2 linked regions of the Oryctolagus cuniculus genome follow. Each later gene encodes a partner of the first gene's protein in a complex. Links are inferred from orthologs where the notes say so. Each region holds a gene or a part of one and is shown in the gene's direction. Other genes may lie near its edges. The genes, in order: ACAD9 and TMEM186.

Region 1 (3,802 bases):
TGTGCAGGGGCTTTGGGAGCAGGCCTGGGACAGGCCTCTGCCCCACGGGTGTGGCTGCATCTATGCTGCCAAGCAACCACTCACCTGCTGGGTGAGCTTTCCAGGCTCTTCTCCCTGGCACCTTTTAGGTGAGGGGAGGGCAACCCTGCCTGTGGCCCAGCCCAGTTTCTGGACCTTGGCCGTGGCCCCTTCCCGAATCTGCACAGAGCAGAGAACAAGGAAGATGGAAGGTTGCTGTGACCCCACCTCCTGCAACCCTAGGGGAAATGGATTCTGGGCCCTACTTTACCCAAGAACAGACTTCAACAAAGCCACGTGTGGGGCGAGGGAGATGGGTCCAGGGGAGGCAGCAGGGCAGGGGCAGGCTCTGCACTCAGCCCTTGTCTGCAGACCATCGTGGAGGAGCAGTTGCTGCTGAAGCGTGTGGCCAACATCCTCATCAACCTGTACGGCATGACGGCCGTGCTGTCCCGGGCCAGCCGCGCCATCCGCCTCGGGCTCCGCAATCACGACCATGAGGTGAGGCCCTGGCAGCCCTCTAGCTGAGGCTGGGAAGGGGGCGCTGTCGGGGAGTCCCAGGAGGCCACGACCACATGCTGGTCACTGAGCGGGAGGGGGAGTCCCAGAGACCTGCAGGTGTGGCCTGGGGGCGCTGTGCTCGGCCACTCCGTCATCTCCTGCCTGAGAGAAGAGAGGGGGCAAGGGGCAGGGCCCCCAAACAAGAGCTCTCAGCCCAAATGCCTGTCCATGCTGTAGGGAGGTGGATGAGGGCACTGGGCAGGCCCTGTGCACTGGGCCAGGAGCCCCCTATGGCCAAGAGGCTGCAGCTCAGGCCGTGCCCCAGCGCTCGGTGCTCAGGCTTGCTGACCTCACTCCGGCAGGTCCTGCTGGCCAACACATTCTGCATGGAAGCTCATCTGCAGAACCTCCTGAGCCTGTCTCAGCTGGACAAGCGTAAGTGGGGCGGCCGCGGGGAGCGGGGGAAGGGCCTGGCTCCGGGGAGCTGTTCCTGGGGCCTGCTGCCTGCTCACAAGCTTCTGCCTTGAGGAGAGCCTGCGCCAGGCCTGGGCTTCTGTGCGACAGCACCTGCACGGCAGAAGCACACACAGGTGAACCTCACCTGTCACCTGTCACCTGTCACCGTGGCTATTCTGTATGGAGCAGGGCCCTCACACACAGCCTCTGTGCTGGCCCTGCTGGCGTCCACTGAGCAGGCCTGCCGCATTCTTGTGGCTACCTGGGAGGGCTCACACTGCACTGGACTCAGGAGACAGCATTTACCCAGCTCCTCCACCCCTGCACCCCAGCCAGACCGCACCACAGCTCTGCCCTGTCTCAGGCCCTGGCCCTGAGAACATGGGTCTGTGTGCCTGCTCCTGTTCGCCTGTGGTGTGCTTCCTCCTCCTAGCTACTGGCCTGGAGACTCGGATCAGCCCTGTTGCCAAGGATGGGGAGAGGCTGCTACCGTTGTGTCCCTTGATGTGGAGCGTGGCTGCCCTCTGGCCTACAGGGCGGTCACGTGCTGTGGAGGAGGATGTGCCTTCATTGAGACGCACAGACTGGGGGGTTTTCAGACAAGAACAGGATGAGGCCTTTTTATTCAGAATGAAACCTCTGTCCCTTTTCCTGTGGCCCAGAAGCGTCCCTGGGTGTGGAGGAGGGGCGCCCGAGGCTGCCTCACTGCGGGGGCTGACTGCCAGCGCCTGGCTTGTTCCACGTGATCACGATACAGAGAGATGACCGCCCTCTCTCTTCCCTCCCAGACGCACCAGAAAACCTAGATGAGCAGATTAAGAAAGTGGCCCAGCAGATCCTGGAGAAGAGAGCGTACATCTGTGCCCACCCTCTGGACAGGGCGTCCTGAGGTGCTGACAGCTCCCCCTCCTGCCGCTGCCCCCAGGCCATGGCCAGTGCTGCACACCGCTGTCTCCTGCCAGGAGGTGGAGAACTCTGGGTTGCCTGGCTGGAACGTTCATACCCAGGCTGCACCTGGAAGGCTCTCTTCTGGCCAGAGGAAGTCCTGCCGCTGTCCAGCAGGAGCCTGGCTTCCACATGGCGCGGGACAGCTGACACCTGCGATGGTTTAGAAGCCACCACAGGGGACCTGGGGCTGTGCTGCCACCTCGCTGCCTGGGGCTAGCGGGGACCTGTGTCAGGTGTGAAGAGCCCTTCCTGTGAGACCACACGTTGACAGCTGTGTGTGTGTCATTCACTCAGACTAGGAGTGCAGTGCAGTGACAGCATGTACCAGGAGCCAGGGAGTGAAGAACATAAAACATCCCGATGTGCAGGACTTCGCGCTCTGGCTGTGCTCATCACGAGGTTCCTGACTCCGCCTTTAGTGCATGGACCACCTTTGTCCTCAGCCTGAGCACTGAAGGGCTGGTGCCCAGTGCAGGGCTGCGGGGCCGCGGGCCATGGGCTCCTTCTCTGGTGACGGGGGACCTGCTGCCCGGTGCACAGCAGCATCCACCTCTTGCAACCTGGGGCTCTGCTCCCCGTGTGCGCAGAGGTCACGGGGCGGCTCTTGAGGTGGCAGCAGCAGGCGCTGGCCTTCCCTCGGGCTCCTTCCTGCTGCTGCTGGCAGCTGGGGGTGCTGAGGCTGCAGAGCCTGCTGTGGGTGCTGCCCTGAGGGGGAGGCAGGCTGGGCTCAGACTCCTCTACGCTGTGAGACTGCGCACGGGCCACTAGGTGGGAGCACTGAGTTGGCCTGGTGGGGCTGGTGTGCTCCCAGGATCTGGGTAACTTTAATCTGTTTTGTTTTGTTTTTATGATTTATTCATTTATTTGAAGGGCAGAATTAAAAAGAGAAAGAGAAGGAGACAAAGTAAGATCTTCCATCTGCTGGTTCACTCCTCAAATGGCCGTGGAGCTGCACCAATCCGAAGCCAGGAGCCAGGAGCTTCTTCCAGGTCTCCCACGTGAGTGCAGGCGCCTGAGCACTTGGGCCATCTTCCACTGCTTTCCCAGGCACATTAGCAGGGAGCTGGATCAGAAGTAGAGCAGCCGGGATGCTGGTGCCACAGGCAGCAGCATTACCCGCTATGCCATCGCACCGGCCCCACCGTAACTGTTTCATCTTAAAGAGGAAAGTTGGGGGCCGGCGCTGCGGTGCTGCTGGTGAAGCCACCACTTGAGGCCCCTGCTTCCATGCTGTTCTGGTTCCAGTCCTGACTACTTTGCTCCAGTCACCTCTCTGTTCATGTACCTGGGAAAGCAGCACAAGATGAGCTGAGTGCTTGGGTCCCTGCTGCTTATGTGGAGACCTGGATGGAGTTCCAGGCCCTTGGCTCCAGTCTGGCCCAGCCTCAGCTGCTGCGGCCCTGTGGGAGTAAACCAGTGGATGGAGATCGATCAAGGGATCTCTCTGTCTCTCTCTCTTCTCCCTCTCCCCCACCCCACCACCTCCCTCCCTCCCCAGCCTTCCCTCGCCCTCTCCTGCCTTTCAAACAAACAAATAAATTTTTTTAAACAAATCAGTTGATAAATACGGTGACACTGGAAGTCATGTCCCAGTGAAGCCGGAAGTTCTGCTTTCGGCTGGGAAGCAGCGGTGGCAAGGAGGCACTGCACAAACAGAGCTCCTGTCTCCTGTGGACAGTGCTGTGGAAAGGAGGCTGCACAGAGCCAGTGTGCAGGGGAGGCTGTGGAGAGGCTGTCAGACCCTCCTTCCTCTGGGCAGCCTCTGAAATGGCTTCCCTCTGCACCCGGTGCAGGGAAGGCCCTCATCAGCCCAGCGTCTCCGTGTGTCCAGGTGGATCTAGGAGGCCCAGTGGCCAGTTTGGGTCTCCCCCTCTCATCT
Region 2 (4,185 bases), on another chromosome or scaffold:
CAGTAAGGGCTTTTAACAACCCACAGGTGTGTGCTGACTGCTGCCTCCCATGGCTGGTGTTCCTGCGACCAGTCTGTACAAGGGAGAGCCTCGCCACGAAGCTGATCGTAGCTGAAACGTACGCGCGCCCGCAGCAGGCAGATCTGAGCGCGGGGGGCACGCTTCCAAGGGTGCAGAGACTCACCAGGCTGCCTGTGACGACCTAGGACGTCCCCCCGACCCCGACCCCGACCCCGGCAGGGGCTGCACAGGGCGGGTGGAGACGGCCCGTGCTTACGGAGGCCTACTGCGAGCAGACACCTTGCATTTGGTCCTATTCGGATGACACGTAACAAGCACTGTCCCCGCTTCCGGCTGGGGCTAACTGGCCCAAGCTGAGGCTCCGCTAGGTCCTCTGGACTAGGAAATCTACACTTTCTTTCTTTAAGATTTATCTATTTGAGGGCAGAGTTGCAGACAGAGAGAGGTCGAGATAGAGAGAGGGGGTCTTCCACCCAAGGGCTCACTCCCTAAATGGCCGCAAGGGCCGCGGCTGCGCTGATCCGAAGCCAGGAGCTTCTTCCGGGTCTCCCACATGGGTGCAGGGGCCCAAGGACCGGGCCCGTCCACTGCAGCTTTCCCAGGCCATCAGCAGGGAGCCGGATCCGAAGTGGAGCAGGTGGGACTCAACCCGGCGCCCATATGGGATGCCGGCGCCGCAGGCACACGGATGTTTAACTAGTAACAGCCGCAGCGCCGGCCCGAACCCTGCGCTTTCAGCATCTCGCTCCAAGGTCCAGCCACGCGCGACGGGACGGGGAAGGTCACACAGCTGCTGAGGGGGCCTCGGCTGGGGTTCAGGGCTCGCGGCCAGAGAACGGGCTGCTTGTTCTAACCCAAGTTTCCCGACCCCGCCCTCCCTCTCCGAGCACCCCGGGATCTTGACGAGCTGCTTCAGGCCCGTCTCCCGCCGCTGGGGCACCCAGACCAAGGGCAGCCCCTGGAGGCGGGAGGCGGTCCTCAGTTGCACCCAGGCACCCAAGCTGGACGGTCGTTCGTCCCGTCTAGGAGCAGAAAGTGCTCCGTGCCGGCTGCCGCCAGCCCTCTGCGCGCCGCCTACCTGCCGCGGGGCGGTCAGGGTCCCGTCCACGTCGAAGAGGCAAAGCGCTGGTCCCGGAGCTGCCATGGCCCCCGTTTCCGTCCACACCTGAGACGACTCGTTGGCACCCGGACCTCGACCCGGAACTTCCGGGTTCGGCCCTCTTCGCCGCAGAGCACGTCGGGAAGAGACTCCCACAGCCTCCCACAATGCCCGGGGCTAGCGTCGGCCACGGACGCTACACCACAACTCCCAGCATGCAACGCGCGTAGTCCGAGCATGCGCCCTTAGAGTTTCCGGCGGCGGTGAGGTTGTATCCGGCGCCAGGGAGCAGGGCCATGGTAAGGAGGAGGGTGATGGGCTGCGTCGGGGTCGGAGCCAGTGTTGGGGCAAACAGGCAGGAATCCTGAGCTTCTGGTTTGTTGGGTCCTGGGGCGATTGCCCCGATGTGGGTTACGATGTGCTCCTCCACGGCTTGCTGTGGTCTTGCGGGGTCACGTGGGCCAGCAGCGGTGCTAGCGAGCCTCGCGGGGGTGCTCAGGGTGGGCCCCGAGCAGTCGGCGCTGCTTATCCGTGCGCTCCCCATCCATGGATTCACTCAGCTGCCGAGACAGCTGCGTCTGTGCGGAACGCCTACGGGCTCTTGCTACTCCCAAAGGAATCCCCCATAACCACTCTTTACGCCGCGTTTCCATCGTAGTAGTGGTATAAGGTATCACACAAACACTGTGCCATTTTGCATAAGAGACGTGAGCCCTCTGGTTTGGGTGTCTTGTCGTGCATCCCGGAACCAAGCCCCTGCCGGTGCTGATGCACAGTGGTGCTGCGTTTACGGCGTAAAAACCGTTGTCTCGTTCAGTGTGTTCTGAGTGCCCGTTGGTAAAGCCTAACGAACTCACGCAGGTGGAAGCCGAGTTCTGAGAGGAAACGGTCTCTTGTCTCCCTTCCAGGCTGCCCTCCTCCGAGCTGTGCCCAGGTGGCGGGGGCCGGCCGCCTGGGGAAAGCCCCTCTGCGGGCTGTGGTCCTGCGGTGGGCGAGAGGATCCCAAGAGGTGGGTGCGGAGCAGGTCTCCCGGTTCCGAGGAGAAAGCCCCGGGCACAGAGACCGAGAAGTTCCAGATGGTCTACCGTTTCGATGCCATCAGAGCGTTTGGGTACATATCTCGGCTGAAGGTGGCGCAGACGGCCCTGACGCTGGTGGCTCTGCCGCCCGGCTTCTACTGGTACTCCCAGGGCCTCATGCCGCTCGACTCGCTGTGCCTGGTGGGTGGCATAGCTGGCTTCGCCCTGGCCATGCTGTGCTGGATGAGCCATTTCTTCCGCAGGCTCGTAGGCATCCTGTATGTGAACGAGTCGGGCACCGTGCTGCGGGTGGCTCACCTCACCTTCTGGGGCTGGCGACAGGACACGTACTGCCCCGTGGCGGACGTGGTCCCCCTGACGGAGACGAGGGACCGGCCCCACGAGGTGTTTGTGCGCATCCAGCAGTACAGCGGGAAGCAGACCTTCTACCTACCTCTGCGCTACGGGCGCGTCCTGGACAGAGAGCGCTTCACACAGGTGTTTGGGAGACTGGACTCGCTCAAGTGATCAGCTGGGCCTCTGGGAAGCCCTGGGCCCCTTGGGTCACTAACCAAGAAGGCTGAGGGTGTAGACGAGGCCGAAGGAGGGAATCGGGCCCCTAGAGACTGTCAGAACCCTGGGAGTTTGTCTTTTCGGAAGAACACAGAAATTCGGACCCAGGTTTACGGGAAGGCGCCCGAGTGCGGATTCTTCCTGCACTTGCGCGTGCTGTTCTTGCAGATAATGGCCAGGAGGTTCTGTTCGGATCCAGTTCTTGGAGGAAGCTATGCCACGGTCACCCGGACAGTTCACGGGTATTTGGAAGACAGATGTGGGAGGAGCACAGGGTTTGGGGTGCTGTCAGCTCGCTGTTCTGGGCAGCTGACGGAGTCTGTGTGAGCCTTGGTTTCTCACGTCTGTCAAACGGAAAGTTCTTTCTGTCTCGTGGGCTGGATGTCAGAACACACAGTAAACATGCAAGGCCGTAGCCCTGGGCGACTGGGAAGCGTCTGCTCAGAGGTGGTGGTCGGGGCTTTCAGGCAGCGCGCGGGAGCCCTGTGTTCTGCCTCTCCATGCACCCCTTAGCAGAAGAGTGGGACGAAGCGTGGCGGGGGCATTGCACCCTCCCAGGATGGTAACTGCACCCCGAGTGAGGCGCGACGCCCCAGCTGAGATGTTCCGCACCCACAGGCCGAGGCCGTCCCGCTGCGTCATGGAGCCAGATGGGTGTGTGTAGTGCTCTACCTCTGCGTGTTGCCTCCCGTGATCGGTGTGTGTGTCGGCCACGTAGCTTGTAGCAGGGTAAAGGTCTTCGTGATTTTGCCACGCATAAGTCAATAAATTTCGTATCACCTCTGTTTTCATTGTCATGTACTCATCACAAATGTATCGTTGTAACCATGTTAAGTGTACAGTTCAGGGACAGTAAGTACATTTGCAGTGTGGTGTAACCACCCCCACAGTTCACCCCCAGAAGTTTTTCACCATCCCAGGGCCTCTGTACCCACAGAGCAGCACTCGCTCTCCCGTTGGCAGCCACTAATCCCCTTCTGCCTTAGAATCTGCCTGTCTGGACATGGCATGGCCTGGAATCACACAGTATGTGCCCTTTCGTGACTGGCTTCGTTGGCTTGGTGTGATGTTTTCAACGTGTGGGTAGCGTGTAGTGGCATGTAATTCTTCCTTATAGCTGGACGGTATTGTTCCGTGTACTGCCACGTTTGTCTCTGTTCATGTGCTGGGGGACGTTGGGATTATTTTCACCTTTGGGTGCATCCCAAGATGTGGGACTCCTAGGTCCTCTGGTAATTCTGTGTTTAACCATTGGAGGACCTGCCAGACTTTTTACAGTGGCTATGCCGGGTTACATTCCCATTGCAATGTCCAGAGGTTCTCTCCCCTCCCTGCCTCCCCCCTCCCCTTCCCTTTTTTAAAGATTTATTATTTATTTGAGAGGCAGAGTTACAGAGAGAAGGAGAGACAAGATCTCCCACTCACTGGTTCACACTCCAAATGGCCACAATGACCAGCTCTGTCAGGAGCTTC

What was found.
Region 2: ACAD9 (region 1) and TMEM186 share a complex: the UniProt entries of both Homo sapiens proteins name them as parts of the mitochondrial complex. The link is inferred for Oryctolagus cuniculus from reciprocal best matches to the Homo sapiens genes ACAD9 and TMEM186.

The regions. Positions count from the first base shown.
Region 1 is NC_091441.1:111,765,522-111,769,323, reverse strand, and holds the end of ACAD9 (complex I assembly factor ACAD9, mitochondrial), read left to right. Parts: intron 1-390; coding exon 391-519; intron 520-881; coding exon 882-954; intron 955-1,763; coding exon 1,764-1,864; 3' UTR 1,865-3,476; downstream 3,477-3,802. UniProt on the Homo sapiens protein: As part of the MCIA complex, primarily participates in the assembly of the mitochondrial complex I and therefore plays a role in oxidative phosphorylation.
Region 2 is NC_091450.1:27,395,981-27,400,165, forward strand, and holds TMEM186 (transmembrane protein 186), read left to right. Parts: upstream 1-1,294; 5' UTR 1,295-1,416; coding exon 1,417-1,419; intron 1,420-2,028; coding exon 2,029-2,667; 3' UTR 2,668-3,496; downstream 3,497-4,185. Other genes in the region: PMM2 (phosphomannomutase 2), read right to left, coding at 1,100-1,165. UniProt on the Homo sapiens protein: As part of the MCIA complex, required for efficient assembly of the mitochondrial complex I.